2 linked regions of the Xenopus tropicalis genome follow. The protein of the gene in region 2 interacts with the protein of the main gene of each other region in a pairwise test. Links are inferred from orthologs where the notes say so. Each region holds a gene or a part of one and is shown on either strand. Other genes may lie near its edges.

Evidence for each region.
Region 1: the proteins of hip1 (region 2) and litaf interact in binary tests that used the Homo sapiens proteins (3 or more experiments, as listed by UniProt). The link is inferred for Xenopus tropicalis from reciprocal best matches to the Homo sapiens genes HIP1 and LITAF.

What each region holds. Positions count from the first base shown.
Region 1 is NC_030685.2:36,363,600-36,380,454, reverse strand, and holds the start of litaf (lipopolysaccharide-induced tumor necrosis factor-alpha factor homolog), read right to left. Parts: upstream 8,778-16,855; 5' UTR 8,651-8,777; intron 1-8,650.
Region 2 is NC_030678.2:48,846,439-48,862,653, reverse strand, and holds the end of hip1 (huntingtin-interacting protein 1), read right to left. Parts: intron 15,158-16,215; coding exon 15,021-15,157; intron 9,769-15,020; coding exon 9,658-9,768; intron 8,542-9,657; coding exon 8,483-8,541; intron 7,757-8,482; coding exon 7,663-7,756; intron 7,233-7,662; coding exon 7,132-7,232; intron 6,752-7,131; coding exon 6,646-6,751; intron 5,200-6,645; coding exon 5,076-5,199; intron 4,925-5,075; coding exon 4,863-4,924; intron 4,329-4,862; coding exon 4,220-4,328; intron 3,376-4,219; coding exon 3,365-3,375; 3' UTR 1,024-3,364; downstream 1-1,023. UniProt on the Homo sapiens protein: Plays a role in clathrin-mediated endocytosis and trafficking. Involved in regulating AMPA receptor trafficking in the central nervous system in an NMDA-dependent manner. Regulates presynaptic nerve terminal activity.

The sequences.
Region 1 (16,855 bases), on a different chromosome or scaffold from region 2:
CCAAAATGGTTGGGCACCTCCAGTGACTGTAACTGCTTACTTGAAACCCCTGGCCTGTGCTCCTGTTGGGAGAAAACGGCACCAGCTGGGGTGTAAGCGAGCGTTCCCCTTCCTTCTTTGGTCTTTGCACTCTTTGCGCAGTAGAGTGAAAAGCTGAACTTCAGCAAAAAGGCTGGGGTTTTCACTCAACTTTGCATGTGCAGGCCCCAAGATTGCTGCTAAAGTAGAAGGAAGGACGAGGATCTCTAGTCTGCCTTTACCCCAGGCCGGCACAGTTTTCTTCTTAAATCAGCACTGGCCGGGGGTTTCAGGTAAGCGATTACAATCACTGGGGGGTGCCTAACATTTTGGAACCCCCAGTGATTTAGCCTTTCCTTCTCCTTTAAATACAATTTAATAAACAAGATGCAACTAACAGACAAAGACATGAGGTCCTTTGCACATTAATAGAGGAGTGCAGAGAACCTCTTGTCTTTGTCTGTATAAATTTTGTGGTCACAGCCATATTTACAACATATCTCATCAAAAAAATAGGCCCATCATATTCACATCTAATTTAAGTCATATATATCATATATAAGTGTAGTCAGTTGTGATGCAATTGCAACAAAATCTGATCAACCAAAAAGCTTGATAAATGGTCGCTCATCACCTGCCAACTTAAAATAATTTTTTTTTTTTTTTTATAGGTATAGCTATGGAACTTGTTATGCAGAATGCTTTGGACTTGGGGTTTTCTGGATATGGAGCCTTTCTACATACTTTAAGGGGCCCATTTACTAACCCACGAACGGGCCGAATGCGTCCGATTGCGTTTTTTTCGTAATGATCGGTATTTTGCAATTTTTTCGGAAAATTATCGCGACTTTTTCGTTACCAATACGATTTTTGCGAAAAAACGCGACTTTTTCGTAGCCATTCCGAAAGTTGCGATTTTTCGTAGCGTTAAAACTTGCGCAAAAAGTTGCGATTTTTTTGTAGTGTTAAAACTTGTGCGAAACGTCGCGCCTTTTAAGTTTTAACGCTACGAAAAAAGCGCAACTTTTCGTGCAAGTTTTAACGCTACGAAAAAATCGCAACTTTCGGAATGGCTACGAAAAACTCGCGTTTTTTCGCGCAAATCGTATTGGTAATGAAAAAGTTGCGATAATTTCCGAAAAAATGGTAAAGGCGCCGAAAAAATCGCAAAAAATACGAAAAAGTCGCAAAATGTTCGTTTTCAAATCGGATTTTTCCAATTCGGACTCGGATTCGACCCATAGTAAATGTGCCCCTAAGTCTACCTAAAAATCATTTAAACATTAAACAAACCCGACAGGATTGTTTTGCCTGCAATGATAAATTATATCTTAAATGGGATCATGTACAAGGTACCGTTTTACTATTATAGAGAAAAATGGAAATATGCTTTAATATTTTGAAATATTTGATTAAAATATCTATGGGAGATGAGTTTCCCATAATTCTGAGCTTTCTGCATAACAGATCCTATGCCTGTACTATGTTTACTATTCAAAGTCTACTGTTTATGTATTTTATGTAGCCATATCCAGTACAACTTTGCCACATGTATGGATGGCCAAAAAGCAATGCTCCAATCAGCCTTCCAAGCTACATATTCTGGGTTAGCTTCAGCCAGACGTTAAAAGGCCGACACTGTGTTTATCTACTGAACTATCTAATGTACACTAGGCACGTGATGAGTGTTATACAATAAACATGGTTGGCAGGCTGTTTCCTGATGCTGTTCTCTGTTTTTGTTCCCCCCCCATTAGCATTAGTCAACACACTAGAAATCTAACCCTTGAATCCACATGACAAAAGGGTATATAATATTGTACCACCATCTGTCTAAATGCATTGCTACTGCCCTAGTATCTCATTATAGCAAAGGCAGCTTTGGTTAGTCCCCCGCAACAGATCTCTGCTACAGTGGGCGACTAACCTCCAAAATGCCTTTCCACTGGCAACTATAGTCGTCCCTGGTGGAAAGGCCTACGCATTGTTTCAGCTTTCCAGTGTCAGACATAGGGGCAGATTTATCAAAACACAAGTTCGAATCCCGAATGGAAAAAATTCGGATTGGAAACGAAAATTTCTGAAGATCGCAAATATCACGAAAATGCTTACAAAAAAATCGTATTAGTCACGATAATATCGTATTGGTGATGCGAAAGTCACAAAATTTTCGTACCGAACGTATGTAAAAGGAAGGGGGTTAAATTCAGTAAATTGTAAAGGAAGGGGGTTAAATTCAGTAAAGCAAACCCAACTTTTAACTGAATGCTTTATAATGCCAAAAATAGGATTTTTTCAAATTAAAGCAATCAACAGATTGTAAAACAATAGAAAGATTGTAATATCAACCCAAGTTCTATTTTCTGTGTTCATTTTTAGGTGTGTACTGTCCCTTTAAAGGTGTATTTAAGGACTGCTGTGCTGCTTATTATCAACTCACTGTTGTCCACCAATTTCAGCTTTCAGCAGCTTGTTTCTATGGGAGGCTTCCGGCCATTGAAAGCTGAAACTGGCAGACAAAACTGTGTTGATTATAATTGTTTTAAGTGCTTTGTGTAGAGTAAAGAGACTAAAATTAGTAAAATGGAAATTTTCTAAATATATATAAAAATGAAGAATGGCAAGTTGCTTCCTTGTTGAAGTGAACGATAAGTATGTATATTTTTATTTATATAGCACTACTTATATACACAGTACTGTATAGCAGAAAGGAATAAATTGTTTAAGATAATGGCATATAAATATAGTGGTAGGGTATTTATGGTTTTCCTCTTAACTGTAGATGTTCTGTATGCTTATTAAAGGACAAGTTTTAAGCTGGGATAGTTTATATTGAAAAAAATAATAAGAACATTTTAATTTATTTATACATATGTAGAAATTATTATACCATCTGCAAGGAAATATGGAGTTCAAAGCCCCAATAACAACACATGTGAAATAAATGTGTGCTTTTCACCCAAAAATATCTATTTAACTTTTGAAAAGTTGAATGCCCTAAAATGTAGGAAGAGCTCTGCAATGATACACAACCACACACAAAGATTTTTGGATGTAGAAACATGCTTCACACAAACTATTTTTCTCTCTTTTTCCATCTCACAACATGTTACCAAAACCGATGAAAACCTTCCTTTCAGAATTCTCTCTGATCACCCCTTTTTCATTTATCCCTTCTAGTGAAATCAAGAAGAAAGATCTAAGCCAGTGATCCCCAACCAGTGTCGTGTAAGCAACATGTTGCTCACCATCTAGTTGGATGTTGCTCCCAGTAGCCCCAAAGCAGATGCATATTTTTTAATTTCTGGCTTAGAGGAAAGTTTTGGTTGTACTGCCAAACAGAACCTCCTGTAAATTGCCAGTCCACATAGTGCCTACCAACAGGCTCTTATTTAATGCCCCCGGGACTTTTTTTCATGCTTTTAACATTTCAAAGTGGAAATACATGCTAAAGGGGTTACTCCCATGAAATGAGAAACTCATTTATATATAGAGCCCAACTATACTTTGAAAAAGGAGATAGAAATAGTAAGCTTAGCTTAAATGGCAAGCGCCCATAACCCCTCCTCTGTGGTTAACATATCCAGAAGAAGAGGAATGAAATTCTGATCCAGAGGAAATATCTATCTCTAACCTATACTAAGAATCCAATACACCTTAAAAGTTGCTCAATCTTCCGAGTGCACAAGCACCTATCTTTAAGGAACAGGTTTCCCTTTAAGAGGTTGTTCACCTTCCAAACACTACCTAGTTCAGCTGTTTTCAGATATAGCATAAAAAATATGTTCTTAAATTGCTTTCTATTTTTCTACATCTTTTTTCTAATATCCCCTGCACAGCCTGGGAAAGGAAGCAGCAGGAAGTGGAACAGATAGGTGAAACTAGTAGGGTTTTTGGAGATGTTTTCAATAAAGTATGACTTTTAAAAGTCTTGTGAAATGTTTCATATTGCATAACATTAGTTATTTTCCAGCTTGGACTAAATTGTACACAGAGGTCGCTTCCTCTGCTGCCTTCCATGCCCGTTTGTGCGTACACTGAGGCATGGAATAGGCTTGTTAGCAAACACAAAGAGCATATTTTGGCACAGAAACAATTAAAAATGCATGTTTGTGCCAAAATCTGCTGTGCGTACGGACTATATTTGCCTTGTGAAACAGCACATCTAAACTCCCTTCTGTCCCTTAAATCTTCTGTTGTTTGCCATAAAGGAAATAAAAAGAGTATCCCAGAGGTAACAAAAATAATCAAGAAATGGATTCCTCCAAGCAACCACTAAAATGCCAGTAACTTTATAGAAAATACATTTTTTTTTTCTAAAATATGCTACATTACACATTGTTTCTGGCAAAACTAAAGTACTTTTTATTCTGAACATAGTGTTTTTTTAAGGTACACGTTACAAATAAGTTTCCTTTAGGGTTAATATAGACTGTCAAGAGAAATCAATGAAACCTATCTCTAGCTAACTACAAATCACTGCAGCTAATCTCCAAGCAACCTGAGGAGTGTGGTATCCAACCTGACTGTTCCAAAGGGTGGACCAGGTGTCACTGACCCTGCCCAGACTTAAGAGGAGTTGGGAGGAACAGGTGTGCACCCTCTCTGTGCTGTCCTCAGAGTATTGCTATTCTAAACTGCTGTATGTGAGTACATTGCACTAACCCTGCATACTGATTGTCTCTGACAATAAACCGATTCTATTGTTCAACTGCAAGAACCTTCTTAGAAGGAGACCAAAACGTCGACCTAGTTTTATAAATAATAAAAGTAATTTTTGTAAACGTTCCCAGTGTGCACCTGCCTATGTGGGATTTTATATATATGAACTTTCCTTTTTTTCTTTTTAATGTCTGTGCCACAGAACTCTGGAAGTGCACTGTACCATCAATCTCCAGGGAGCAAAAAACCAGGACCAGCACTGTCCCTTGGATGCCTATATAGAAAATATGGCCAAGGCCATAAGGTGTTTTGATTTCTGTAAAATGAGGCAGCAAACCAAACGTGGCTATTTGTGGCGCCTTTTCAAAAGCTAATGGCAAGTTCTGAAAGATATCTGTGCTTCCCAAAGAACTGAACAGAAAGCAACCAGGGATTAGTAATAATGATCAAAATGCCATGGGAGCCATGGCCCTAAAAGAAATGAATTAGTGTTCTATTACCTGCCTCAGTTTTAGGCATGTGCACTGAGCATGAAACTCTATAATTGCTTCATTGTAAGAAAGCTTGTGTCACTTAGTCATTCTTATGACAGGAAAATGGAGCAACTTCATAAATTCCATAACGTTTTTGCATAAGGGAATGAGAAGTCAACATATAGACTGAAGTGAAGAGGCACTGATGCACTGTCTGCAGAACTTCCAGCAAACCGCACTCAAGAGTTAACACTGCACTAGACATCCTCAGAGTTCCTAAGTGCTGGATCCTGCATGTATCTGTAATTAAATATGACCACAGGCAACTGGAAGAAAGGAAACCAGCAAAAACAAACACTGAGCGTTTAAAAAAATGTTGTTACATATGGAACTTTTAGCTCCACATCACACAATAAAATATACAAAACAATCACTACTACCTTATGGCATTTAATGCTTCTTCAACTGGTAAATATGTATATTTAATGTGATGTGCAAGCAAGTCTCTCAGTGTGACAGTAGTCAAATGCTAAATACCAGCAGAAAGGTTTCACTGAGAAACCATGAAAAAGTGCCTCAAGGTACCAGGGCAGCAAGTCACGAAAATGACTTCTCCACATGACTGAAGATACATATCCATCTTTAAAGGGGACAAGTTTTTGAAATATGCACATTCATTTGGGCTTGTTTAAAATCACATGTATAATCACTACGTGAACTGCAAAAAAAAAAAAAATATATATAAACCCATTTGTTTTACATAGACATACACTATTCCACAGATATAGAGAAAACACAATGACCTGCTTCTGACTCACACAGTCCACTGCCCACCCCCAGTTAGGCTGACAGTCATTCAACCCCTCGCTCATATTGTACTGTGGTGAAGTGATGGATTTATAGAGTTGAAGTTCCTCTGCTTTCCACAGTGGCCACTGCATAGATCCTTTAAAAAGCAACTTCAAGTCCCAGGGGTTGAATGACTCTGCCAGGCTAAAGCTGGCCGTATACACACCGATAAAAACGAGATTTTGTAAGATTTTTGGACCATGTGTGGGCTCTGAATTATCGTCCCAATCATTTTCTTACTATGGTGATTGGTCATTTAGCCAATCGGTCAGGTTAAAAATTTTGGTCGGCTAACATGCATGTTTTGTGTATCGGACAATATCCTTGGGGGACCTACAATGGAACTTTTGTAGGTTTGGTGTCTGCAACTATTTCATGTTCAGAACATCCTCCGATGTATTATTGTCATATTTTATAACTCTTCTTTCTATTCAGGCCCTTTCCTATTTATAACCCAATGTCTCACTCACACCACTACTTGGTTGCTAAGGTAATTTGGATCCTAGCAACCAGACAGCTGCTAAAACAAAAAGCAAAATAATTCAAAAACCCCACATAAAAAAAATGAAGACCAATTGCAAATTGTTTCAGAACAGCACACTCTACATCATAATAAACGTTAATTTTAAGGTAAACATCCCCTTGAAATGTATGACTGACATCCAAACTTCGTCGGAAAAAGACTAAAATCTGAACATGTACGGCCACCTTAAGGGGTGGGGAAATGGTCCCTATGAGTCACAGGAGATAATTATGGCTCTCAGTCTGAGGAATTGTTTATGTTTTACTTAAGCCCAATGATGCTATAATGGTGGAAAAAATGATCTGAATACACTGAGTATGAACACTGGATCATTGCTTTTCTTTTCAGTTTACTGGAAAGTGTACTATTTTGCAGGCCTGGACTGGCAATCTGTGGATTCTGGCTAGTGCTAGAGGTAGTGCTCTAAGATGCCATAGCCCCCCACTGCCCACTAAATAGTGACTGACCGTTTGGCCCTCTGTGTACTTGAAATTCCAGGGCCTATTTTGAACACCAGTGAGGACTTGCTACTTTGCAATTTATAAGCAGCACTTTCCAAATTATGGCATAGGGTTTGGGATTTAAAATAATACTGGTACACACACATTCTGTAAACTGCGCAACAGGATTAGGGACTCCTGCAGTACAGATGGGCTAGTTGTGACAGGCTCAAAGTCCCAATTTAGAAACCCGAGAATGTTAGCAGAATGTTTGTATGAAATATTCAATAATCTGCAATTCATAGAGGAAGGTATGTCAGCCTGACTGGTACATGAAAGTTCCACCTTGTAAACTCTATCACACTATAGCTGTTACTATTGGACAATGTCACAGATTTCAGTATTTCTTCTTTATGCCTTTTAGTTAGACTAAATGAATTGGTTTAACATTGTCTAGCCCTTTAAAGGGGCAGAATACATATAGAAAAATAGTATATACATACACAAAGACCTTTTTTTCAATAGGAGCAGAATTAATAGAACTTGTGCTGAAATTACATTCTGTGTATTCTAAACTGCAAAGGAATCATGCCAAATAGATTTATGCTGCTGTTAAAGAAGCATCTAAAGAACTAACAAAAAAAAGTCACTAATTTTATTTGCACAGGCCTATAGTAGCCATGTCCAGCTAAGGTTAAAGCCCTTTCCACTCAGCAGTGGTACTTACCTTCCAGGTACCAGAGTGCCTAGCCCCAACTGCACATTCCCCTTGCTCTGGGCTAGGAGGAGGAGGTGTTAGACTAAATAAAGGAGCCAGAAAGGCAATTTAGGGGCAAACAGAGGGCTATACCTACATAGGGCTTCTGTTCTTAAAGCAGTACAGTTGTACAGTTGAATAATTTCACACAAGAGGCTTTCACTGTCCCAATGTTAGAAATGGAAAATCTTGAAACGTTTTCAAGGAAAAAACTCAGAAAAGTCCAGTTGTTTTAGACTTAATTCTACTAGATACTGTATATCATGACCTGGATGAATGAGAATCTTCATAGACATATTGCAAACAACATATTTTCCGTAAATGGTAGATCTCTCATTTTAACAAGAGGAATCATAATTATAGTGATTTTGTTTAATAACAGATGATTCAACCAATTTATTGTGTCCAAATGCCAACAATGTTAGGGCTAGCTGATAGGAAATATGTAATAGGCAAAATAATAATACAATGATAATATGGCTCAGCTTAATGCGATCATCGAGCCCCATGTGTTGCTAAATACCTGTACCCACAAACACACCATGATACTCTCACCCTGCTGCTGCGGCCGGATACAGCTCCCTGCATAGCAAACTTTCCAGCTCCAACCCACACACACATCTGTAGCAGCTGCCATCTTTGCGCTACCGGCGCACACTTGCACACACATACACAACCCAGTATGTATACACGGACAGAAACATTACAGCCAAGCAAGCGTATCGGTAAGAAAGAGCGATTGCTTCTAACACAGAGCAAGTGACATCACTCGTTCCCGTGCAGTTCGCCAGCTGCGGCCGGACTACAACTCCCAGCATTCCTCATCTTCATCCACAGCTGGAAAGCAGCGGTTCATAGTTCGAAGTGTGAAAACTTTATAGAGTAAACGTGGAAAGCGATCCTTGGGTGAGGGGAGACAGGCACGTACCTCAAATTTGACAGAAATGGTCCCTTGAATCTGTCTAATACCAGAGGAGAACGCAACGACAAGCTTCAGACAAGCAGATCCAAGTTAGGCACACTAAAGCTAGGGACTGTACTCCCACAACTCTGGAAACATACGGAGAAAAACTTGCAGCGGGCGTGGCTTACGAGGCACCGCCCTATCCCGCTGTTAAACTGAGGGGCGCGACGCTGGCCCGGAAGCGCTGAGAGTACACCGTGTGCGTGTTCCAAGCAAGGAGCCCGAGTTCCCCAACGCTGCGCTGCTCCTCCCCTTATAGTACGCTTTCTTTGCCATGAAATAGCGAAACTTTTTCACCGGAAGTAAGTGTGCTTCTGTTTTGGAGTAGTTTCAGTTCTCACGAAGGTGAAGGTTATGTGCATAGAGTTTCCAGCCCAGCCAGCTGTCCCAGGTTTCGCAGGACAGAGCTTATTGTCTCTGTTTGCTCAGGCGAGTTTGTATTCCTTGAGGGGTGCAGGCAGCTGCACTGTTGTGCCATACTGTAGTCATACTATAGTCATACTGTGGTCATACTTGGCCTGATTTGGTCAGTGTGCTGATTTCATACACCCTGCCTACCATCATCTGGGCATGTATGCTGGTTCTGGGGCAGTTTACTCTGAAGCCAGCATGTTGGATCGCTGGTGATCGGACACTAAGGGGCGTATTTATTATGCTGTATAAAACTTAATTCGGCGAAAAAAAGCTGTGTAAAATAAATGGAAAAGATCACCATCTGAACGCCGGATATTACGCCATTATTTTCCATAAGTTCCGGTGGAAAAAAAATGCGTAAAAGAATTACGCCGTTTTTACGCCATTTTTACATGGCGATGTGTGACAAATTTTCTCTATAATAAATATGCCCCTAAGCTGCGGCCTGCACAGTTCCACTTCTCACCATATGATGACCGGAAAGGGAAAGTCTTTCTAAAAATGGAATAAACACCAATGAGGTATGGTGTACAGGCAAACTGTAGGTTCTGGCAAATGCCAGGAGGACTATTGTCAATTTTTAACGGACAGTCACAGTGTTTTGGGGCTGATTGGGCTTCTGTGTACTTGAAATGCCAGGGCCTAATGATGTGCTGGTAATAATAGTATATCTGTAATTTGTAGCACAGACTCATCCTAAGGCACTGCACCCAGGATCCTGTTGGTGGGAACCTCTGAAGCTGCAAAGGGTGCCATATGGAACCTTTCTCATAGCACCCTATGCAGCTTCAGAGGTCAAACTCAGATGATGGCCAAACTGGCATAATAAACATTGCATATCACCCTCTGTCCATTCAAAGAAACGATAATATGGCAGCTTTGGCCTGTGTATGAAACTGGTGGTAGATCAATGGAATGCATTGTAATTTGTACACTGCTCTTTCATTGTCAGTGGGTACGCACTGCAACATTCTTGCACAGGACATGATTTACACTAAGGACACAGTCCCACGTGGTGTCCTGTCCTCTTTCTCTTGTGTTTTGTAGGCAAGAGGAGAGATAGGGGGTCCCTATACCTGCCTGTATGTTGCTTCACAAACTGGCACAGTGTTAGCCTGAGTGCAGCTAAACAGAACAGAGATCACCCCCCAAAAATGCGAGCATGCATTTTTAGGCGGTTTCTACTAGTTTATTTAATGCAGTGCCGGTGTCCTTGCAAGAATGGACTGTGGACAGTTGTGACCTTAAAAAACTGCTCCTTTTTATTAAAAATATTATTTGTCTTCGGTACAGAAATCTCAAGACTGTTTTCCCTGTCTTTCTCAAGATGCATTTGAAAATAGAGCACATTAAAACACTAGTGAGCACTTGTATGTGTGTACCTTGGTATGAATGAATGATGTCGAAAGGACCATAAACCCCCTTATAGCACTGATCAGCAGTACTGGATAAATGAAATCACCACTTCTTCCATAAATTCATCACAGTGGTTTATATTTATACCTTTACATGCTTTGCCGGTTAAGAAGTAAATCAATCGCTCAAAGTGTAGTAGTGCATAAACGTGAAAAATTGTTGCTGAACAAATGAACTACTATAAATAAAGTGGCAGTCATTGCATCTTGACTAATAAATAAAAAGTTTGTAATTTGCTGTAAGTGAATATACCACCCAGATTAACAATTTATTTGTAATACTAAATTAGGATCTGTCACAATGCTAGAGGGCCACTAGATCAAACCAATGTAATGCCAGAAAAATGCAAGAGCAGAAATAGTTGATAGTAAAAGTGGTTAAAAATTATATATGGCCCTACATTTTTGCTACACTGCAACTTCCAGCATCCTACTGACCGCAAAAGGCCAATTATCCCAGACCTGCACTTTCCTGCATATTTGCAGATGGTCTCAGCAGCACAGTTTGTACGTCCCCTTCCCTGAAATATGGGCTTTCTGTAGTTTCAAGGGGGTGCTTACAGACTCCATATACTGCAGGTGTGCCTTTATCCACTAGAGCCCCGTGGTTTGCACGCAATTCCTAAAAACTGAAACTGAACCAGAAGATTGTAACATCGGTCTTGTTGCATACACCAGTGAACAATTAAACTAGCCAAAGTACTAAGGCCTCAAACTACTTTACTAACTACACAAATAAATTACCTTGCATAATTATTCAACCCCTGTGAATTTTTACATTTTGTTGTGTAACAACCTGGGATTACGATATAACTGGTTTTAGTTGGGAGTATTTTCCACTGACTACACTAATAGCCCACTAATATATAAATGGAAAATTGGAAAATATTATTTTTCAAAATAATCTACAGATAAAAAAAAAAATCTTTATTGCATAAATATGTACTCACCCTTTTGCTGTGAAATCTTGAAATAAGCTCTGGTGCAACCATTTGTTTTCAGAAGTTGCAAAATCCAAATAAACAGCAACATGAAGAACATGGAGCAATCTGAAGCAAGTCTGTGATAATGCTCTTGAGAATATGCCAAATTTTGATAATTTTCTAGAGTACGCATTGTTAAAAATTTCAAGGGATATGGAGGTTGCGTCTGTGTCTACAGAAAGCCATCCACCAAAATGCGATATCAGTGGGGCATTAGTCAGAGATGCAATGCTTAGTAAATGGATATTGGTTAGCAGTGGATATTAGTAGTTAGCAGTTACCATACATATACTAAAATACCACCAATATTTATTATTTATTTATTTTTTATTTATATACCGTCAAATACCGTGATACCGATATAATTTTGAAAAATACCGTGATATAAATTTTTGGTCATACCGCCCAGCTCTACCAGATAGTCCCACATAGACTGTAAGTAAAGAAAAAAACATACAGGGTAACATACACAAACTTGATATAAAATACAGTGTCTAGAAATTTCAGGCCAGCAAATTTGTCTCTATAAAGTCCTTTTGTTTACGGGTGCCAATTAAAAATCATGGATATTTAGTGAACTAAATATCCCACTTTTGCCTATCTTCTATACTGAGATTGCTCTAGGTGCATAGTGGGGGCATCACTTATCTGGCCTATACTTGATTCTAGCCAATGGCCACATATTGCTAGGAAATTCTCCATCAGGAAAATGCTGAGAGGCTGGTAAATAGGTACAAGAGGGCTAGATACCCAGTAATTTCTGAATTACTCCAAATGTTTATTTCCATAGCCATGCAGATTTGTCACACTAGCAATGAAGACATACTTTTTCAAGGCCAGTTTATTATTGTTTATTTATATAGGGCCGACATATTCCACAGTGCTTTACAGAGATTATACCTTCTTTATATCTAAACATATGTAACCAATGTAACATTTGAAGTTACAAGCCTGTATCGCACTATATACATAACAGACTGATGCAGAACTTTCATGATACTGCTGGCCTACATAACAGTAAACCAAGGCATATTTAAGCGGTGGTTTATCAATGTTCAAATTTTTCTCAAGATTCAATTGTTTGTGCTAAAACTCCCAAAATTCGAGTTATGGTTCAAAAACTCAAATTTTTGGAATTTAGTGCAAAAACTCGAAATTTCAAATTTTAAAATTTGGCAGCTATAAGCTTGAGAGTTCATGTAAAAGTCATCTTAGGCAAAAGTCTAGTCATATTAATAAATAAGCAAGCATTCAAGTTTTTTTTAAATGCAAGTTTATTCAAATTAGAAAAAAAACTTGTAAATTCACAAACTGAAAAATTGATAAATAAGCCCATTAACCTCAACCCGATCAGTTATGCTTTGTTAGGCGATGTAAAGCACAGGCCTATGCAATATGTATTTCAAAACTGCTGTGTTGACACTGTTGGTCTTATTTATAAATTTTCGAGTTTGTTTTTCTAAATCTAAAACTCATATATCAAATGCTCGCTTATTTTTGAAACTTGTTCAAATAAAAAAACTTGAATACTTTAAATTTCAAGTTTATACACTTGGAAAAAAAAGAAAAATCTCAAATATTTCGAATTGAAAATATGGCTTGACTCCCATTGAATTCTATACAAACTTGCAAGCTTTAAAGGAGAAGGAAAGGTAAAAACTAAGTAAGTTTTTTTCACTGATAAGCTGCACTCTATCAAAAGATAGACTAATAAGCTGTCCTCTATCAAAAGAAACACAGGATTTCTTGTCTCCTTTTTTGTAAAAATGATGTTTAGGTGTCGGACTTCCTCTCTCAAAACAATCCTTAATTCCCTGGGCCAGAGTCTGCACAGTTCTCTCCTCTCTCCCTACCATTAGGAATGTGTGATCTGAGCTATAACGGCCAGGCTGCAAGCAGGAAGCTACTTAAAATGGCAGCTGCTGTCTTAAGCAAACAGAGAAAGCTGAACTCTGTGATTTTTCAGGGAAAATTTCCGAAAAACTCTCATTATAACAATATCATAAAATTTGAGTACTGGCAAAATCCCATTCATAAATCTAGAAAATTTCTAGAAGAAAAAAAAATTTGACTTTTTCTCAAAATTGCTTAGTAAATATGCCCCTAATAGTATGAAAGTGACTTTATCTGACCAATATCAGACTAAATTGCCAATTGACTACAAACTAAGAAATGGTAGTAACCTAAACTTAGAAATGGCTCAATTAATTTAACCTAAATGTCTCAAATGTCAGGAAATCAAGTAAATAAAACGGACCAAATACAAAAGAGAGATCCGGGTGTATAAACCCCGGATCTGTCTCACAGTTGATCTAGGTCAAATTCCCAACACCATCATATCAGCTCTCACAATGTGAAACCCTAAATGCAAAGAACTCACCGTTATTCAGAAGTGGTTCAGGTGCTCAGAGCCCCGAACCTGTAGCTGGGGAAGGCGAAATCACGCATATGCAAAAGGGCTCCAAATGCACCGGACACAGCGGCTTGCTTAAAACTCGATTTTTATTACTCCATTTAAAAACAATATGCCTGACGCGTTTCGTGTAAATATACACTTAATCATAGGCATGGCTATGATTAAGTGTATATTTACACGAAACGCGTCAGGCGTATTGTTTTTAAATGGAGTAATAAAAATCGACTTTTAAGCAAGCCGCTGTGTCCGGTGCATTTGGAACCCTTTTGCATATGCGTAAATTGCCAATTGTCATGGTATGAAAATTATTGGGACTATAATACAGACTCCACACACAGTCCAAAAATCATACAAAACGTATAATCGATGTGTGTATGGCCAGCTTAAGAAATGGAAAGGCAGCAGGAGCCCCAGTCACTGGTGACACAGCACCACATTATTAATCCATCCACAATTCCCAAAGCCTGACTTGTTCTACATTGTAGAGAAGACACTTTCATATCCAGTAACACACACTCCACTACCTATAAACACACACATCTCTTTACACATTCTTATTCTCAGTATGCATATTCACATACATTTTTACACCCTCACTTCAAACAATCCCAAACCATTTTTACACACATGTATTTACTTTCTGACACCCAGCTCCACTCCATTTGCAAACAAGTTCCAGTTCCAGTCCCTGCCACACTTAATATCAAACACTGCTACAAGGAGCTGAATGCAAAATACAGATTATGCCTCACTGTCTGTACATGCTGGGGGTGGCAAAAAGTTGTCACCTTCCCCCATTACACAATACTGTGTTTGGTATAACATGATGGGGGAGAGAGAGGGGGGGATAGAAGGGGGATTAAAATGCTGGTGGGCAGCACCTATATTGGGCCTCTTAGGCACTGCAGTGGGACTATGGGAGCTCTACTGTGGGTTTACTATACAATTAAAACTATTAAGGGCCAGACAAGTGGAGGGATATACTGAAATATACTGTTTGCACAGAGCACTTGTCACAGGCCTAGACTTTGAATCTTTTTTTGAATATAAAACTCTGCAACTAAAACCGCCAAGTCAATGGCAAGTGTCTCTAAAGATTCTAGGCAGGTTTATTTTCAAGTACCGTACATGTATTACATGTACGGGACCAGTTATCTCATACATCAGCCTCAGATCCCGTCGGATCGGGGACCGCATCAACTCATTGATATGGCCCTAGGTCCAATAGCCCATATACCCACCGTTTTAATTCGATCAATTGGCCCTAGAGTCAAATAATCGGATTAGCCCGATATTGCCCACCATACGTGAGCATATCGGGAGATAATATGCTCATTTGGTGACCTTGCTAATTTCCTTATTGCTTAGGATGGGTATAAGAAAAGACTGTAAAAGAATGTTTTTGTGACCTTCTGGGGGCTTTAAGGGTATTTTGCATAGTTCTTCTCAAATGTCCAAAACGGACAAGCTGAGTAAAGGAGCTTGGTTGGCTCTTCCCAGTCAGGATTTCCCGACATGTCTTAGATCAGTAGTAGAAATATGAAAGGGTAATTTTTCAATTTTCTAGATGGGTTGTCCTTGTTCAGGTTACTAGTTTCTAAGAGCCCTTAGGCTCTTCACTGGGTGATTTTATTTCCCACAAATCCAGATATCATATTCCCCGCCCACAGTTATTTATATTCTTCTCTATATAGAGACCAAAAAAGCAACTTGTCACTGGAACTCGCTTTTAAAAAACCCTCAGCGACCAATCTCTCAGTGGGACAGTAGCCTAAGGGAAACAGATACAGCTACAGAAAAGTGTCCAGTGGAAACTAAGGTTCTGTCAGGCTCTATGGGTTAATGATAACTGGTATGGACCTGTTGAAATGCTATTTAAGTGCCACTGATATTTGTTTTCCTTTTATCTCACATTTAAGTGAATGGAATTTGAAATCATGGATACTGGGTCACTATTTCATATTCTAGGAACCACATAGAAACAGAGAAGTTATGGTGATCAACCGAGACCATTGCAGGGACAATTGATACAACCGGGTTTTCATGATTTGTCAAAAATTATATAACATAATAGCCGGAGCAGGACAGTGAAAAACACAGCTAGACATGGTGAACATTCTTAAATTCTTTCATATGTTATTTTCAGATTTTATCTGATTGATGTAAATATTCCAATTTTTGAATGATAAGATTATTAGTTTGAACACATTCATTCATCAACTTGTTTTTCATAATAATTAAACTAATGTACATATATGTTGGTAGAATAATAAAGTATACATCAGTGATTAATGAATTATCAAGTTAGATATAATTACAGTTTTAACTTAACTAAACCCCAATGGCCTGGGTGCAAAATCTGCACGTGGGCCCCCCACACCTCTACCTGGATTTGCACCTATACTGCTACCACAGTTTACAGCACCTCCATGGTAGTCCAGCGTTGTACCCCTAGCCCTCCCAGTAGTTATGCCACTGTATTTACATTTGAATATGAGCTTAATATTTGTTTAAAAAAAGCAGCAGTAGGAAGATTCGGTGTATGTTCTAGGTTCCAGCAGGTGGCAGTAGCTGCACATAAATATTTATGCATGTACCGTATATCCAGTTTATTGTGCTATATCTCGCCAACACAAATCATAGTGTCACATGAAGCTAGTAAAATTTTATATAGGCCTGAGATCTGTTACCAAAATGCTTGGGACCTTGGGTTTTCTAGATAGGGTTTTTTCCTGTCATGTGGATCTCCATATCTTTAAGAATGTGTTAACCCTAAAAACAAGTTAATGTCAATTGCTCAGGGTGCTCTCCTAAGTACTTTTGCAGTTTATTATCATTATTAATAAATTATTATTTTCATTTTCATGTTATTAGACATGTTAATTAAAACGAGGCAATGCAATAAATTTTGTAACAGTGTCACCTGCTGGTCATTGGCTGA
Region 2 (16,215 bases):
CTATTGCACTGAAATTGTGGGTAAAGAACATTGCTTCATGTGTAAACAAACATGCTGATTAGTACATCGTGCAAGGTAGTATATATATAATAGACAAAGAGAGCTCTAATCATGCAGATCCGTTAAATCTGTGACTTGTCAACACAAAATGTTTCTCAAGTAAGGACACCAAGGGGCTTGACGTATAATTTCAGATAATTTTTACATAGTTTTTACTCTCCTCTGTTATATATTTTACTAACATAGAAAGTGAGTGGCTACGCCTTCTGGGAACTGATGCATAAAGGCTAACTTGAAGTTAAAATCTAAAATATTACTTATTTGCTGTATTGGATAACACTGGTGGTATAGGCAGTAAATATTATATTTTCATATATTTGAAACCCTGTTTTGAGTGACAAAAGGAGTAATTTATAATGTGCTATATAATATAATGTGCACTTTCCGGGGTATTTGAAAAATATTAAGCAGCAAAGGGTGAACTTGAAGCCACAATTACTACCACATGACCAGGTGAAATTGCTAGGCACTCTAATGGCTGCATCATAAACAAAGTTAAATTGCTATATACTCGGTTGCGTCTATAGTTCAGCACTAGAAACTATATACTGTACTAAACTGCAAGGGGGCCTGCATATAATGTGAACTGTTCATATCTAGAACAAATCTATGCAACTGTGGTATGAGGAGGATTTGCCCTTGCTGTAAAGAGCAAATATCCTGCCCTTTGGTGTTTGGAAGCATCTGCCTTGGCTGAAACCTTAAAGGATACCTTAAAGCTTGGGCAAAGATGGTGGCATGGGGCTCTGCTACAATATGCCTTGAGCCAGGGTGTTTATTTAAAGAAGAGGTAAGAATAGTCATTTGGGCACAACACCCAGTGATTCTGACTTTAGTTCTCCTTTTACTGTAATTCCTAGCATCCTCACAAGCTGAAAATGCAAAACACAGGGAAAGTTATGAGGCTACCAGTTTTCTTTTACCCAAATATAACCATAAAAATAATCAAGAAAGACAACAACAAAAAAGTAACAGGTTTATTCATGTAAATTTAACCCTGACATCTACTGGTGTCACAATACCCCACATGTGATGCAGATACAAAGCACCAAACATTATATGCATCCTGCTAATCTCACAGTGTTCTCCGTCAAATTAACACCAAATGAAACGTTTAGCTACTCCCTGTGGTGGCTGAAGGACTCACGGTAAAATTAATTTGGAAACTGACTGAAAAGCACCAACAGAATGCAGCAGATTTCCTCATCTACATATTGCAAAAGTTCATAACATGGTATGGCGCATGGACATGAGTTCTTCTTTACCAATCATGTGTATGAGGGATGTCCAGCCAGTGGCCCTTCAGCTTTTGAATTACAAGTCCCACTAACATCTGAGAGCCAACATGCTTGAAGCATAATCCACAAAGTTAGGGCCACTGCTTGCATGTCCCAGCTGCAGTCAGCAAACACAACTCAACATGAGATCTTCATGTATAATTGTAGTACTTTCTGGGAAAATGTGGCCTGACTGCATCTCATCCTAACAGCATTATTGCAGATTTAGTTACATATTATTTGAATCTTTCAAATATCTTTCTTTCGATCATTGGGTGGTTTCCTCATTATACAGCAAATCTCACAGCAATATGTTTAATGGGTGTGTTAATGGGCAGCACCAATACAATAAAGATTAAGCTTTTTATTTATAAACAGTGATCCTATTACAGCACTACATGGCCAAAATTAGCCAGATACCTGCCTGACCAAAATCTTCTTCTAAAACCAAAGGTATTAATATGAAGATGTTCTTCCCTTTGCTGCTATAACAGCCTCTGCTCTTTTGGGCTTTCCATGTGATGTGATGTGCATTGTTGGTAGAATTTCCACTCAGTCACAAAAAACATTAGAGAAGGTGAGCACTGTGATCACATATGGCTTGCAGCTGGCATTACAGTTCAGTTGGGTTGATGTCAGTGATCTCAATAAACAATTCTTTATGGACTCAATTTGTAAGGACATTATTGTGCTAAAACAGAAAAAAAAAATTGGAAGCCACAAAAAAGAATTGTCAACAATGTCATTGTGAGCTGCAGCTTTAAGGTCTGCTTTCAATGGAATCAGCAGCCTGACCCATAGAATAGCAAACGGCTCAAGATCATTATTCAGCCTCTTCCAAACTACTATACCATTGGGAAAACTGATTTAGACAGGTAGGACCTGTCAAACCCAGACTTGTGTGTCTGTCAGATGCTAAAGCATGATCCATGACTCCAGAGATGGATTTCAGGTGCTCCAGAGTCCAGTAGCTACAATCTTGACACCACACCAGGCAAGAATTTTTAGGTATGTGAAAGTTAATCCTGTGTGTCACTGAGCTGATCACCCACTGAAAAACTTAAGATTCTGAAGAAAGGAAATCTGGAACCCCATAGTGATTTTGACTAAAGACTTGACATTTTTATGCACTACATGCATTAATACTTGGTGGCCCTGTGGTCTAACACTTGATGACAGAGTAGGTCACTGAGCTCTTTAGTACAACACATTCTGTTAGCAGCTGGAGATGTGAAGCTGTCTGCAGTGTTAGAAAGGAGAGACTCTTGAATAGAAATTAACACTAATTCCAAGGGATGTATGTATATTTTTGGCCATATAGTAGGTAGATGATGGCATTGTGCATCTTTGATCTGTGATATTTGCTCCCAGTAAAGACATCTTGGGAATGATTACAATATTTCATTTATACATAGTAAATATATTTCACACATTTGAATTTCTACTTAGTCCACCAAACTTAACATAACATTGTCAAATTATTGCTTTGCATGTTTGACAGCTAATTGATATGCAAACCATCAGTGCTTAAAAAAGTTGTTCTGCATACCCCTGGTCTTACATAAGCTGAAATTCTTTCAATGCCTTTTTTTGGGTAAATATTGCGCCTAGGCATTCTGTAATCAATGAATCCCAGAGTCTGAAACAAATTACAACATTCAGATGCCAAAGAGGCAGCAAAATTCTGAAAAATTAGTTTTCTGTCCTGCTGTATGATGTTAAATGCTAAACAAAAGTATACATTAAGAAATTGAATATTTCCTTTTTTTTTTCTTCCAAGTACATTGAAGGTGAGAAGTGTTGAGCATAGCGACTATGATAAAGATTCCATCTTCCTGGCTCCTTCTTCTTCCATGCTGGGCCTTCACTCCTGCTGTCCATTGACACTGTGATCTGTCAGGAATACCCAGTGCCAGCGAGCTCTGACTATGTTGGAGAGGTTCTATACTGAATAGACATGTGCTTTGCAAGTCTGAGTTCGACTCCGTATGTGCAATTGTTATTGCAAGAGGATGCGTCAGTGAAGGTTATTCTGCAGCTACAGATTAAAAATGCAAACAGCAAATTATAATAATAACAAAATTCCAGATGAAACACATCAAAATAAGAAATTATGCAAACCAAAAAGTTCTTTAACCATATAAAACACTATGCGCACATGGCTTTTACAAATATTACGGAATCTAGAGTTTATTTTTAATGGTCTGTTAATTAGTATTAAGAAGTATATTATCTCAAAATAAATACTGTTTTCTGGTGTATGGATGTTTGTCTTAAAGATGTATGGCGTAAGCATTGGAGAACTAGAGCAACAGCGAGCAAGTGGGTTGCCTGTACCACATATTGGTGCTCGAGTTTAAGGAATACACATATACATTTTTGGCTGGACCATAAAAAGTAGGCAGATCTAATGAAGGCCATTACTGAACAGCTTTTCACCGATTATGTATGTAAAGGACATAAACATCAAGTTTGGAACCTCAAAAGAGACTGTATTATGGTTGTAATATATGCTTTTATGTGTCACTTTCTGACATTTCAATCTAAATTTAACATTATTGTGTATTATAAAGATATCTAAAATATATATGTATATTGTAAAAGTGTATATGATTTATCATGATTGTATCCAGCAACTGGCTATATTATATAAATGGAAATGGAAAATCAAAGTCATACTTCCAAATGTTAACTGTCCCAATTCCTCTGTGGTTCCCCAACATTAAGTAACATTTTGTTATTTTTATGCTTGAGAGACACCAGAGGAAGTTGAGATACTGGAAGAATGATTTTGATTTGTAAAACTGCACTATGTCTTTCTACACAAACATTGTGGGAGTTTTTATTTGATAAGACTTATACACACCAGTTTCTTAACTTACCATCTCCCCAGCCTTCAGAAACCCCAGCTAAATCATAATGCTTTTTCCGTAGCTCCCCCAGCTTCTCTCGCTCCTTTTGAAGTTCATTTTCCAATTCCAGAACACGCACCTGACAACAAAACAAGAATGACTATAAGATAATGAGAAATCATGCATCATGCAAAGTACTATCTTCTAAAGCCACCTAATCTGCCAGTTCTTGTAAGCAGTGTAATTGGCTATCACTTTCCAAAACTATTACCATCAGTGGCCACCTACACACCTACACCAAAGAAAAAGTAAAGCCATATACTTTTTTATTGAGATTACACTTATTAGACATAAACTACATTAATAGCAAGACATGCAAAAAAAGGATCAAAGCTAACAATACACCTAATGTATTGGATTTTCAGGCTTGGCCTTCGAATCAGTTTCCCAGTGCTCTGCAGTAAATCCTGCAAAGAAATTCCCACTAGTTCTAAAGTACAAAAGATTTATCTGTGCATAATGGGGAATAGAATGTTCATTTATTGGGCTTGCAATGTATTTAGAGTGGCACACAGAGAATACAGTCAATGTTAATCTGTAAGTATCCATGGCAAGGTAATCACAAGAGCAGAAAAGCTACATTAATTAAGTTAAATCCAGATGCTGCCACTACCTGAGAATCCATCTCCTTTCTTTTAATCTGTGTCAGAGTCATGCTGGAGAAATCCATAGTGTCTGTGGAAGGGAAGGAGAAACTAGTTAGAAGAAAGTGTATTTGCTCCAAGATGCAGTATTGTGAGTGCGCAAAAAGCTATATTTAGTTACTATAGGAAGAGGATTATTAAAATGGACTTATGGCCATCATTAGAAAGGGGATACAACTTGCCTTTTTCCTCAATCTGGGACATAACACACTTTGTAGAAGCCACAACTCCGGCTGCATTTTGATTCACAACTTTGGAGGCCTGCTGGAGCCTAGAAAGGTTTGCATTGTCCTTCTCAGCTTTTACCTGGAGACAACAGTGATTTTACAAAAATGAAATCTATTGGTGACATAATTTGCCACTTCTAAATAGCTCTGAACCACATTTGTTGAAATCCTCTGTAACATTCTTAACAAGGAGTCTTGCTCTGTAACTCTGAAAGAATCTGAAAAGAATAACTAGAACCAAATGCTGGTCCAATAAAGATTATAGGGCTCTTTTATATCTACAGAGGCAGTGAGCAACTTGTACTTTCCCTGCAGTGAGCTGTGTCTAAAACCACTTTCATTTAAAGTACTTGTGTCCAAATATACTGTGTGCACTTCAGTACAGTTTGGTGTCAATCAGTCCTTCCTGCCTTCCCTTTTGAATTGAGCTTTGCTGCATTTATTTATGCATGGCTCTGTGCAAACCCTAAAGTTGCAATTACCTCCTGACTAGGCAGTAGCTTCAGGGTTCCCTCAGCACCCTTCGTCAATAGCTACACCTAAAGATTCAGACATCATTTGCATGCCGAACACTGTAAATGACGTGAGCACTGGAACTCACACCAGACTACAACACTGTGTCTGCTATACACAAAAGCACACAAGCAGTTGCATCTATGTTGACTAATTAGACTGGACACATCACATCTGTGTCTGATTCAATGACCACATTGTGCCCACTGCGATGCATGAAAAAAAACACGCCAATTGTGTCCAAAATTGCACTGCATCAAGTAAGTAAAAGTGCCCTTTTGCACCTTATGATGTTATTCTCCCTGCACGGAAGAAAGAGCATCACAGCTATAACCATGTTCTTCCAAATCACTCCTGCATTTAATTAATTTTGTAACATGGAAAATAACTGGTTAGCGGCCTTTTAGTGTACTGGAACCAGGTAGCAGTTTTTAAAGAGGAACAAGTAAAATGGTCTTTGAGCTAAAGCTGGCCACACACGTAACGATTTTCGATCTTTCATGCGACCATGGGTCGCACAAAAGATCGTTCCAACCCTCCACTGACATTCAGGGCTGAATCGTCAGATATGGAGGTAGAAACAATAGGATTTCTACCTCCTTTTGTCGATTCAGCCCTGAAGGCAGATTTTGCTTAGGCATCTTCAATATCAGCAGCATTCTCTGAAGCACCGAAAATCGTATGAAAAAAGGTTTTGTACGATATTATCGGTGGGTGTATGGCCGGCTTAATGCTCAGGGTTTTCCAAATGTTTCTCAAAGAACAGATCTTGAGCATTTGTCTGTAAATTCTTCTTATTTTTGACAGTGGACTGAATTTTTAAAGCAGACATTTTGATAGAAATTTGCTGATATCTGAAATGCAACTTATTGGCTTAGAAATTAACTTCCTTCTACATCCTTCCTGGTGACTACTCTGGGCAAAGCCACACCAATTGAATGTATGTGGATTTCTACCCCTGTATCCTGTGGTAAAGTCATAGGAATTTGTCATTTGGTCTTATCAGCTATACCTTGGATGCTGCCACCAACTGAGCTGTGCTTGCTGCAATTTCATGGGAACACACAATGAGGTCTTCAAACTTCCCCTGACCTTGGACCACAAGGTCTGCTGCATCCCTGTAAAGCGCAAAGGATGAAGAATACAAAAGAAGAGTCAAAGAGTTCTGATTAGACTGAGGTTATATATAAATATTTTTTTTTGTAACTTAAATTTTTATTGATTTTATATAACAACAAAGAAAAGGAAGAGAAAGGGGAAAGGGAAAGAGGCATTCCTGGTTCAAGCATTGAGGTCATATTTTTTTTAAGGTGGGCCCTCTTTTTTAAGATGACATGCACTGTGTATCAGTAAAGTTAAAATAAATAAACAAGGTCCTAGTTTATTATCCCACGTGTGCAAAAACCCATAGATACTAGTCACTCTGATTTGTTGGTTGCAATGTGGTATATGTAGATGGGTTGAGCTGAGTGTATGCATGGGAAGCAGAATTACTTACACCATAACAGTGGCTCCCCAGCCAACAGCTTTTGATGCTGAGATCAACCCTTCTGTCCATCGAGAATTCCTGGCATAAAATTCCTTTTGAGATGCTGCACCCTGCAGGACAATCAGTTAATTATTGTTAATTTATAAAATGGGTTCTTGTTAAGCTAATTAGCCTCTTAAGTTTAGAATCTGGAGTTGGCATAAAATGTACTCCAATTAGGAAGGGAAACACAACATTTAGCCTCTATTGTAATACCGTATATAAATGATATCATGACAGCATATCATTGCAAATTTTCTATTCTGCATTGGCACTTCTTTCACAAGACTATTTCTATCATGATCATTATAATTTAAAATTAATCTTTTCAACCAGTAATTGAGAATAAGTTTTTGAGCTTGGATGTTCTAAATTCTGTTATTTCTTACACAACAGCAATAACAACCACTGCTAAATCTTTTTTCCCACCAATTTGATCTAGAAAACAAGGTTGAGTTTTTTCCCCCACTAATTTGGTCCTGATTACAAGGTTGAGCTTACCCTTCCACTCTCAACAATCTCTTTCTGTAGGTCTTTTGATGCCAATATTAAAGCCTGTATCCCCTGCATTAGGTCTGTGCATGATCCCAGGATCCTGCAGGAAAAAAAAAATTAGTAATAAACTTGTGTAACAAAACCAAATCCTATCATATTGTTGGTCTACACTAAAACAGCTAAAAATCAAAAAAGGTGTGGCTCATATCACTGTAGTGCAATAACATATATATGGGTTGATTCACAAAAGTGCAATAAGCAGAAAAAAACGCACAATTCGCTAAAGTATTATCGCGTGCGTTAAGTCGCATATCGCATGCGCTAAATAACGCATGATCGCAAGGCGTTCATTTTAACGCATTGCGTTAATTCTCGTGCAGAAATAATACTAACGCATGATTCACAAACACTTAGACACGCTAAATATCGCATTATTCATGAGCTTTTGGCAACACAATATGGACTTTACAGTGTGATTTACTCAAGTATGTGTTGGCCCTAGAGTGATGCAGCCTCCAGTTTGCAGAGACATGGTCATTTTCAGAACAGTAGTTTTCCGAAAATAATGGCGTGTATGGTTAATATGGCGTGCGTTGACAATTTGTGCGCGCTGCGTTAATTAGCGCGTGTTGCGTCAAATACCGCACGAAAATAGTCTTTGCGACATAAATAACGTAAACAGCATCGCGTCTAAATTGGCAAGTATCCTTTTAGTGAATCATGCGTTAAGACGCAATAAAATTTTTAACGCATAAATAGCACTCGTTCTAACGCACCTTAGTGAATCAACCCTATACACTTTATCAAACGTCCACAATGTTCTTACCGCTCATTGACTTGTAACTTTACTCCAGTATCATCAGTTCGGGATTTATTTAACATTTCCTGTAAAAAAATAATTTTTTGTTGTATTTATAAGCAGTCCAAAACACAATCAAGCCCCTGGTATAGCAGCACTATGTTAGAGCAGAGGCTGCTACATGATAACATAGGAGCTGGGATACAGGGTGCCCAGACTGCAGGGATCCCCTTCCTCTATAGATAGAAAAAAATCCCCCCTACCTCGACGGGAGCTGGTGGGGATACAAGTTGAGGGCGCAGGCAGAGGAATGGTTTTGCTGTGCATGCTACAACTTGGGGTGGCCAAGTACATTATAGTTACCCACTGCACTAGACTATGACTAAGTGCAATTTAGGCCTGAAATGTGTAGGGAAAATGGAAATGCTTTTCATTTTAATGTAACTTCCAATAAAGATTTTTACTTTTATATTTTTGCCCCTTGTGGAATCCATGAGTGCCTGGATGCCCCCTTTTCTATGTTGTAGGTCTAGGGCTGGTATATTTGGGCTACCTATTTGACTTGGGAAGTGCATTTACTTGTGACAACTTTTCTTGGGTATCTGAAGCACTGAAGGTTAACCCTTAATTTGGTTGTATCAATAATGTTAAATAATATGTGAACTTTACTAAGCGCCAAAACAGCTAAAAATCCGAATCTGACAATTCGCCAGGTAAAACTTGCCGTGATCATGTAGAAGTCAATGGCAGATGTCCCTTCCCTTCCCTGGAGGATCTTTCTTTTGCCTTGAAACTTTATAGGTTTCATATTTTTTACGCTGTTTTTTTGCAACTATTTTGCAATTTTCATTTTTCATGCAACAAGTTAGCAACTTTTCTGTCACTATTCCAGTGCTGTCTTTGACTAAACTTGGAAACAAGTTTAGTCGAATTTTAAAATAAAAAAAAGAGAAATGTTGAAGAGTTTTATTAAATCCGCCTTTATGTGTGTCATTAGTCTTATGGAGATTTACTTAATGGAGGATGGAGGTTTACTTAATTAAGAAAGATTGCCCTTTACGATGAAAAGCTTTTAGGGGAGAGACAACTCAAAGAACAGACTGATTATCACCGTCCTGTGACCACTGAACTGTTAATATAAATGTGAAAGAAAGGAAACATTGTAAAGCAATTTAATATCTATGTGGATTTGTATATCTTACCTCAATCCTAGTGGCAGCTGTTTCTACTGCTGCTGCAGTGGCTGCCATCTCTTTCTCTACCAGATCCCCCAGTTCCTCTTCTCTGATATCCAGTGTGGGAGGTCGCAGCTCCTACAAAAAATATAACCATTCATTAGTCATTAGATTCTGTCCCTTAGTGCACTCTCCTCTCCACCCATGTTTCAAAGCTACCACATTCAAGGATATACCAAGGAACCATGAAACCCTTTTGACATTAAAACAAGATGGCATTGCACTATAAATAATAATTTATACACTATATACTTTTCAGTTAATTCTGTACAGTGCTTCATATTAATATGAATGACCATCATGCAAATAAGTAAGGATGTGCAGTACACCCTGTGCCAACATATTTCATTAAGCAAAATAAAAACCTTGTAATAAATGTATATATAAAACATAACCTGAAGTCTAAATATTGCTAATTTATCTACAGGGGAAAAGCCTGGAATTTTAATTTAGTGGTAAAGCAGAAAATCCTAGAGGACAATGGAGAGAAATGTAATAAAGATCAACCATAAAATATGATGAGAATTGGGGCAGCACTTCAGAGGGTTTACTGTAATTAGAGCAGCATTATTTATACAGAAGCGAGTCCAACTGGCACTTTATATGAAAGTTAATTTTGTTTCCTGCAGCTCTCAAACCAAACTCTGCGGGAAAGTGCAAAACAATTTTCCTGGTGCAGAATTTAGTAGTGAATCTCTTATTTAAGTGCACATCCATGGGGCTGATTTACTAACCCACGAATTCGATCCGCATTGGAAAAATTCTGATTGGAAAACGAACATTTTGCGACTTTTTCGTATTTTTTGTGATTTTTTCGGCGCCTTTACGACTTTTCGGAAATTATCGCTACTTTTTCGTTACCAATACGATTTGCGTGAAAAAACGCGAGTTTTTCGTAGCCATTCCGAAAGTTGCGATTTTTTCGTAGCGTTAAAACTTGCGCGAAAAGTTGCGCTTTTTTCGTAGCGTTAAAACTTAAAAGGCGCGATGTTTTGCGCAAGTTTTAACACTACGAAAAAATCACAACTTTTTGCGCAAGTTTTAACGCTACGAAAAAATCGCAACTTTCGGAATGGCTACGGAAAACTCGCGTTTTTCCGCAAAAATCGTATTGGTAACGAAAAAGTCGCGATAATTTTCCGAAAAAATCGCAAAATACCGATCATTACGAAAAAAACGCAATCGGACACATTCGGCCCGTTCGTGAGTAAGTAAATGGGCCCCCATGTGTAAAACAAACTCAATCAGTTATGGTGCAATGCAGCCACTCTGGGGAGATTACCTACTCACGAGATATAGGAGGTATATTTGCTAAACATAACACATTTTGTGCTCTGAAATAAGAGATTCACTCTCTTAAAGAGAGTTTGTTCTCCTTGTCTGCATGGGTTTCTTCCATCTACTGCTCTATCCTCCCAAGCTCCAAAAATATATATAGTAGTCAACTGGCTCCTGGTGTAACTAATGTGTGATGTATAAATACAAACTGGATTCCAAAAAAGTTGGGACACTAAACAAATTGTGAATAAAAACTGAACGCAATGATGTGGAGGTGCCAACTTCTAATATTTTATTCAGAATAGAACATAAATCACGGAACAAAAGTTTAAACTGAGAAAATGTACCATTTTAAGGGAAAAATATGTTGATTCAGAATTTCATGGTGTCAACAAATCCCAAAAAAGTTGGGACAAGTAGCAATAAGAGGCTGGAAAAAGTAAATTTGAGCATAACGAAGAGCTGGAAGACCAAATAACGCTAATTAGGTCAATTGGCAACATGATTGGGTATAAAAAGAGCTTCTCAGAGTGGCAGTGTCTCTCAGAAGCCAAGATGGGTAGAGGATCACCAATTCCCACAATGTTGCGCAGAAAGATAGTGGAGCAATATCAGAAATGTGTTACCCAGCGAAAAAATGCAAAGATTTTGCATCTATCATCATCAACTGTGCATAACATCATCCGAAGATTCAGAGAATCTGGAACAAGGGTAAGGGTCAAGGCCGTAAAACCATACTGGATGCCCGTGATCTCCGGGCCCTTAAACGACACTGCACAACAAACAGGAATGCTACTGTAAAGGAAATCACAGAATGGGCTCAGGAATACTTCCAGAAACCATTGTCAGTGAACACAATACACCGTGCCATCCGCCGTTGCCAGCTGAAACTCTACAGTGCAAAGAAGAAGCCATTTCTAAGCAAGATCCACAAGCTCAGGCGTTTTCACTGGGCCAGGGATCATTTAAAATGGAGTGTGGCAAAATGGAAGACTGTTCTGTGGTCAGACGAGTCACGATTCAAAGTTCTTTTTGGAAATCTGGGACGCCATGTCATCCGGACCAAAGAGGACAAGGACAACCCAAGTTGTTATCAACGCTCAGTTCAGAAGCCTGCATCTCTGATGGTATGGGGTTGCATGAGTGCGTGTGGCATGGGCAGCTTGCATGTCTGGAAAGGCAGCATCAACGCAGAAAAATATATTCAGGTTCTAGAACAACATATGCTCCCATCCAGATGTCATCTCTTTCAGGGAAGACCCTGCATTTTTCAACAAGATAATGCCAGACCACATTCTGCATCAATCACAACATCATGGCTGCGTAGGAGAAGGATCCGGGTACTGAAATGGCCAGTCTGCAGTCCAGATCTTTCACCTATAGAGAACATTTGGCGCATCTTAAAGAGGAAGGTGCGACAAAGAAGGCCCAAGACGATTGAACAGTTAGAGGCCTGTATTAGACAAGAATGGGAGAGCATTCCTATTCCTAAATTTGCGTAACTGGTCTCCTCGGTCCCCAGACGTCTGTTGAGTGTTGTAAGAAGAAGGGGAGATGCCACACAGTGGTGAAAATGGCCTTGTCCCAACTTTTTTGGGATTTGTTGACACCATGAAATTCTGAATCAACATATTTTTCCCTTAAAATGGTACATTTTCTCAGTTTAAACTTTTGTTCCGTGATTTATGTTCTATTCTGAATAAAATATGAGAAGCTGGCACCTCCACATCATTGCATTCAGTTTTTATTCACAATTTGTTTAGTGTCCCAACTTTTTTGGAATCCGGGTTGTAGAACAGGAACCTTAAACTGTAAGCTTCACTGTGGCAGAGAAAGCTGTGAATGATGAAAAAAATCTGTAAAATATGTGCAATATAAATTATATAATAATCCTTGTGCCGCATGTAGAATTCACATGTGGTGATCAGTAGCTGTTTAGCTGAAAACATTTTTTTTTCATTTCACGTGTGACAAGCCTTATGCACAAGTATCATTTCTTTTCCAGGAAACAATGAGACTTATTTTAACATTTAAATTAGCCAACTGCTAATGTATCCATTTTAAACTCATTTATGAGTACCAAATCGCTAACAACTGCAGCATGACAATACCTAGTCCACGACTTTCTGTTTTTAAACAAATTCACTAATGAAGCAAGAGGATGTCCAAAAAATTTGAAAGAGTCCAGGTTGAGAGTGGCAAGTTAGGGTTGGGTGCATGTTGACTTTCTGTCTGTATGAGGCACTGTGCTTACACACAAAACAAGTGCATGCACACTTGCTATTTTACATCAGCCAATCAAGGAACAGAGGCATGCGTTTTACTACTTCACTTCTTGTTACAGTTGGCGCTGTACTATTTCTTGTCAGGTGATCTCTGACTATCACAAAATGGAGGCTCCAGGGAAAAGATGTAAAAGGGCAATATTAACTGATATATACAGTATATTTCAGTTTTGTAAGATTTGTTAATAGGTCACTTATTATAATATAAATTACATGTTGATTAAGTATTCATATGTACACTTGCCACAATATATGCACTGCAAATTTACCAATGAATGTTTGGGTATTTCCTAAATTTTATTCCATTCAATTAATTTGTGATTATTCAGTGAGATTGTAGCAAGAGAAAGAATAAAGTTTAAAATGTTCCACTGAAGTGATGTGTGGGTAACAAGCTGTACTATTCCTTCTGTGCATAACTCTGCAGGGATACACTAAGGTACATGCAGAGCTGTTCAAATAGCCCGTTCTGACTAATTCTTTCATTTATGCCATTCATCAATTCAGAGACCTCCACCTACCTAAAGGTGACCCATAATCATTTTGCTAAAGGTCACCTGGGAAATCTGGGCTTTTGTCATATTTTATAATGTTTTGGACTAATGTTATGCTACACTATAACAGAATCTGAATGCAAAAGACCTTATAAATATGAAAAATAAATGAGAAGAAATACAGAATGCTTCAAGTTGCTTACTTTGAAAGAACATTTTGTACGTTTCATGAAAATGAAGCCGCAAAAGCAATTTCTGTTTGCAGTTTGCAATTTTCTCGTTACAAATTTGCACAGTGGGGGAGGTTTACAATTGTCATGAATGTATGCTAAATGTAGGGTGTTAAGCAAAATGGTACATGACTGTTCATATAATGAACACAGTATATTCCTTCTGCTCTAGCACTGAGCATGGATATACCATCTTTATAAGTGTGACCAATTTTTAGCTTCCCCTAAATCAACAGTCAAGTATAAAGGATATATAAGGGGTGCTAAACATTTGAGGCATCACTGGGGCAAGTGGACCGTTAGGCTAATGGCAGATGGGTATTTCAGCTCCAGCAGAGAAAAGCTGATCTGCTGCCTTCTGCTTCCTGAATGTGTGTGTGCACTAACAGGCACATGATTAGTTTGTAAGCGCACACCACAGATTTCAGAGCAAAAATGAACCAAAATTTGCTGTGTGAGTTCACTCACAGGCTGATCCCCTGCCTGTTAGCATGTATGCATTCAGCAAGCAGCTAAAACAACCCATCTGCCATTAGCGATACAGCATGTACCCATGATTAAGGGTGGTACCACCAGAAACATATAAGGTATTGAGGCTCTGATGTTTTTAAGCTGTGCAAATAAAAATACTATTTTTTATTGGAAGATTGGCTGCTGTCCATTTTTACTTTGTTCAGGCAGGCTGCAAGTGCAAGGCCACACTGTGTTTCGATGCTCCAAGAGAAAGCCCAAGCACCTCTCACATACTTGCCTTTTATTAATAACTAGCAAAATATAAAGATATGCACGTTTTATCCATTTTCACATAACAAGGCAATGGAAGCAGCCCTAGCACATGATAGTGAGATTTGTTTTAAAATTCAGAGAGACTTGCAATGCTGTTTTGAATCCCATTCCAGGCCTGGTGCCCTTACCGTGTACTCTATGATCAGTTGCTATACTGTACGGCACTGTGCTTGTGGCATGTTGTGCATCGGCAAAATCACAAGGTAGATAGGATTATGTTTTCGTTAGCAGAAGATTAACATCATTAATGGTATTACCTGAGCAATCTCACTTATATTTTTCAGTGCTGCAGTTACCCTACTGCAGTGAACACTTCCCTCTGTCTCATTTTTTTGGAGGCTGGAGAGGTAACTAAGAGCTTCTGTACCACATGTCCTGCAGCCGTCATTCAACCCTGAAGAGAAATAGACTCAATTATAAACAAAAGTGCAATCAATTTTCTACAGCAATACCATTGGATGTCAGCAAAACTACAAGTAATTTGCCTTTCAGAGGAGTAAAACAAATGATTAGTTTATGTGCAGACAGATGGTGCTGCTTAAGAACAATGGCACATAAGTTTGCCGCCTGCAATTTATGCCCAAAAATACCCTTCCATAGGTAAGCACTGGAATCACCAAAAGCATGTCCGCAAAATGACATAATCATGAGAAAATATTCACTAAAAAATGCCCTGTGGGATATTGCATTAAAAGGGGTGTTTCCCTTTCAGGTTAACTTTTAGCAGGGTCGGACTGGGGGGTGAAGGTGCTAACGGGGCTTAATCTTTCATTTCTTATAGCTTTTGAGTTATTTGCCTTCCTCTTCTGACTCATTCCAGCTTTCAAATGGGGTCACTGACCCCAGCAGCCAAAAACACTTGCTTTCTGAGGCTACAATTGTATTGTTATTGTTACATTCTATTTGCGCCCTTCTCTATTTATATTCCTGTCTCTCTTTCAAACCACTGCCTGGCTGCTAGGTTAAATTGGACCCTAGCAACCAGTTTGCTGAAATTCCAAACTGGAGAGTTGCTGAACAAAAAGCTAAATAACTAAAAACTCACAAATAAAAACTGAAAACCAATTGCAAATTGTTCCAGAATAGCAGTCTCTACATCACACTAAAAGTTAATTAAAGCTGAACAACCTCATTAAAAGACAAACAAAGGTTTAAAGGCAAAGACAAGCAGAAAAAGTAACCAATTGGGGGCCCAAAAGCAGGCCCAGAGTGTAGATTCTTGAAAATGCCTCTGCTGCCAAATCCTCATTTTGTTCCTGGCATATATGACCTCATAGGGGGATCTGACTGCAACATCTGGTCCTCAATGACTTCTATTAATTTCTTTTACTGAAATAAAGTGGTCTTATATGTGTGAAATCTAAGAATTGTTCTTCCTGTGTACTATCAGCTAGGTTGGAGAGCCCCAAAAAAATCACTTTTAGACCCCAATGTAAAATGTTTGTGGCAGGA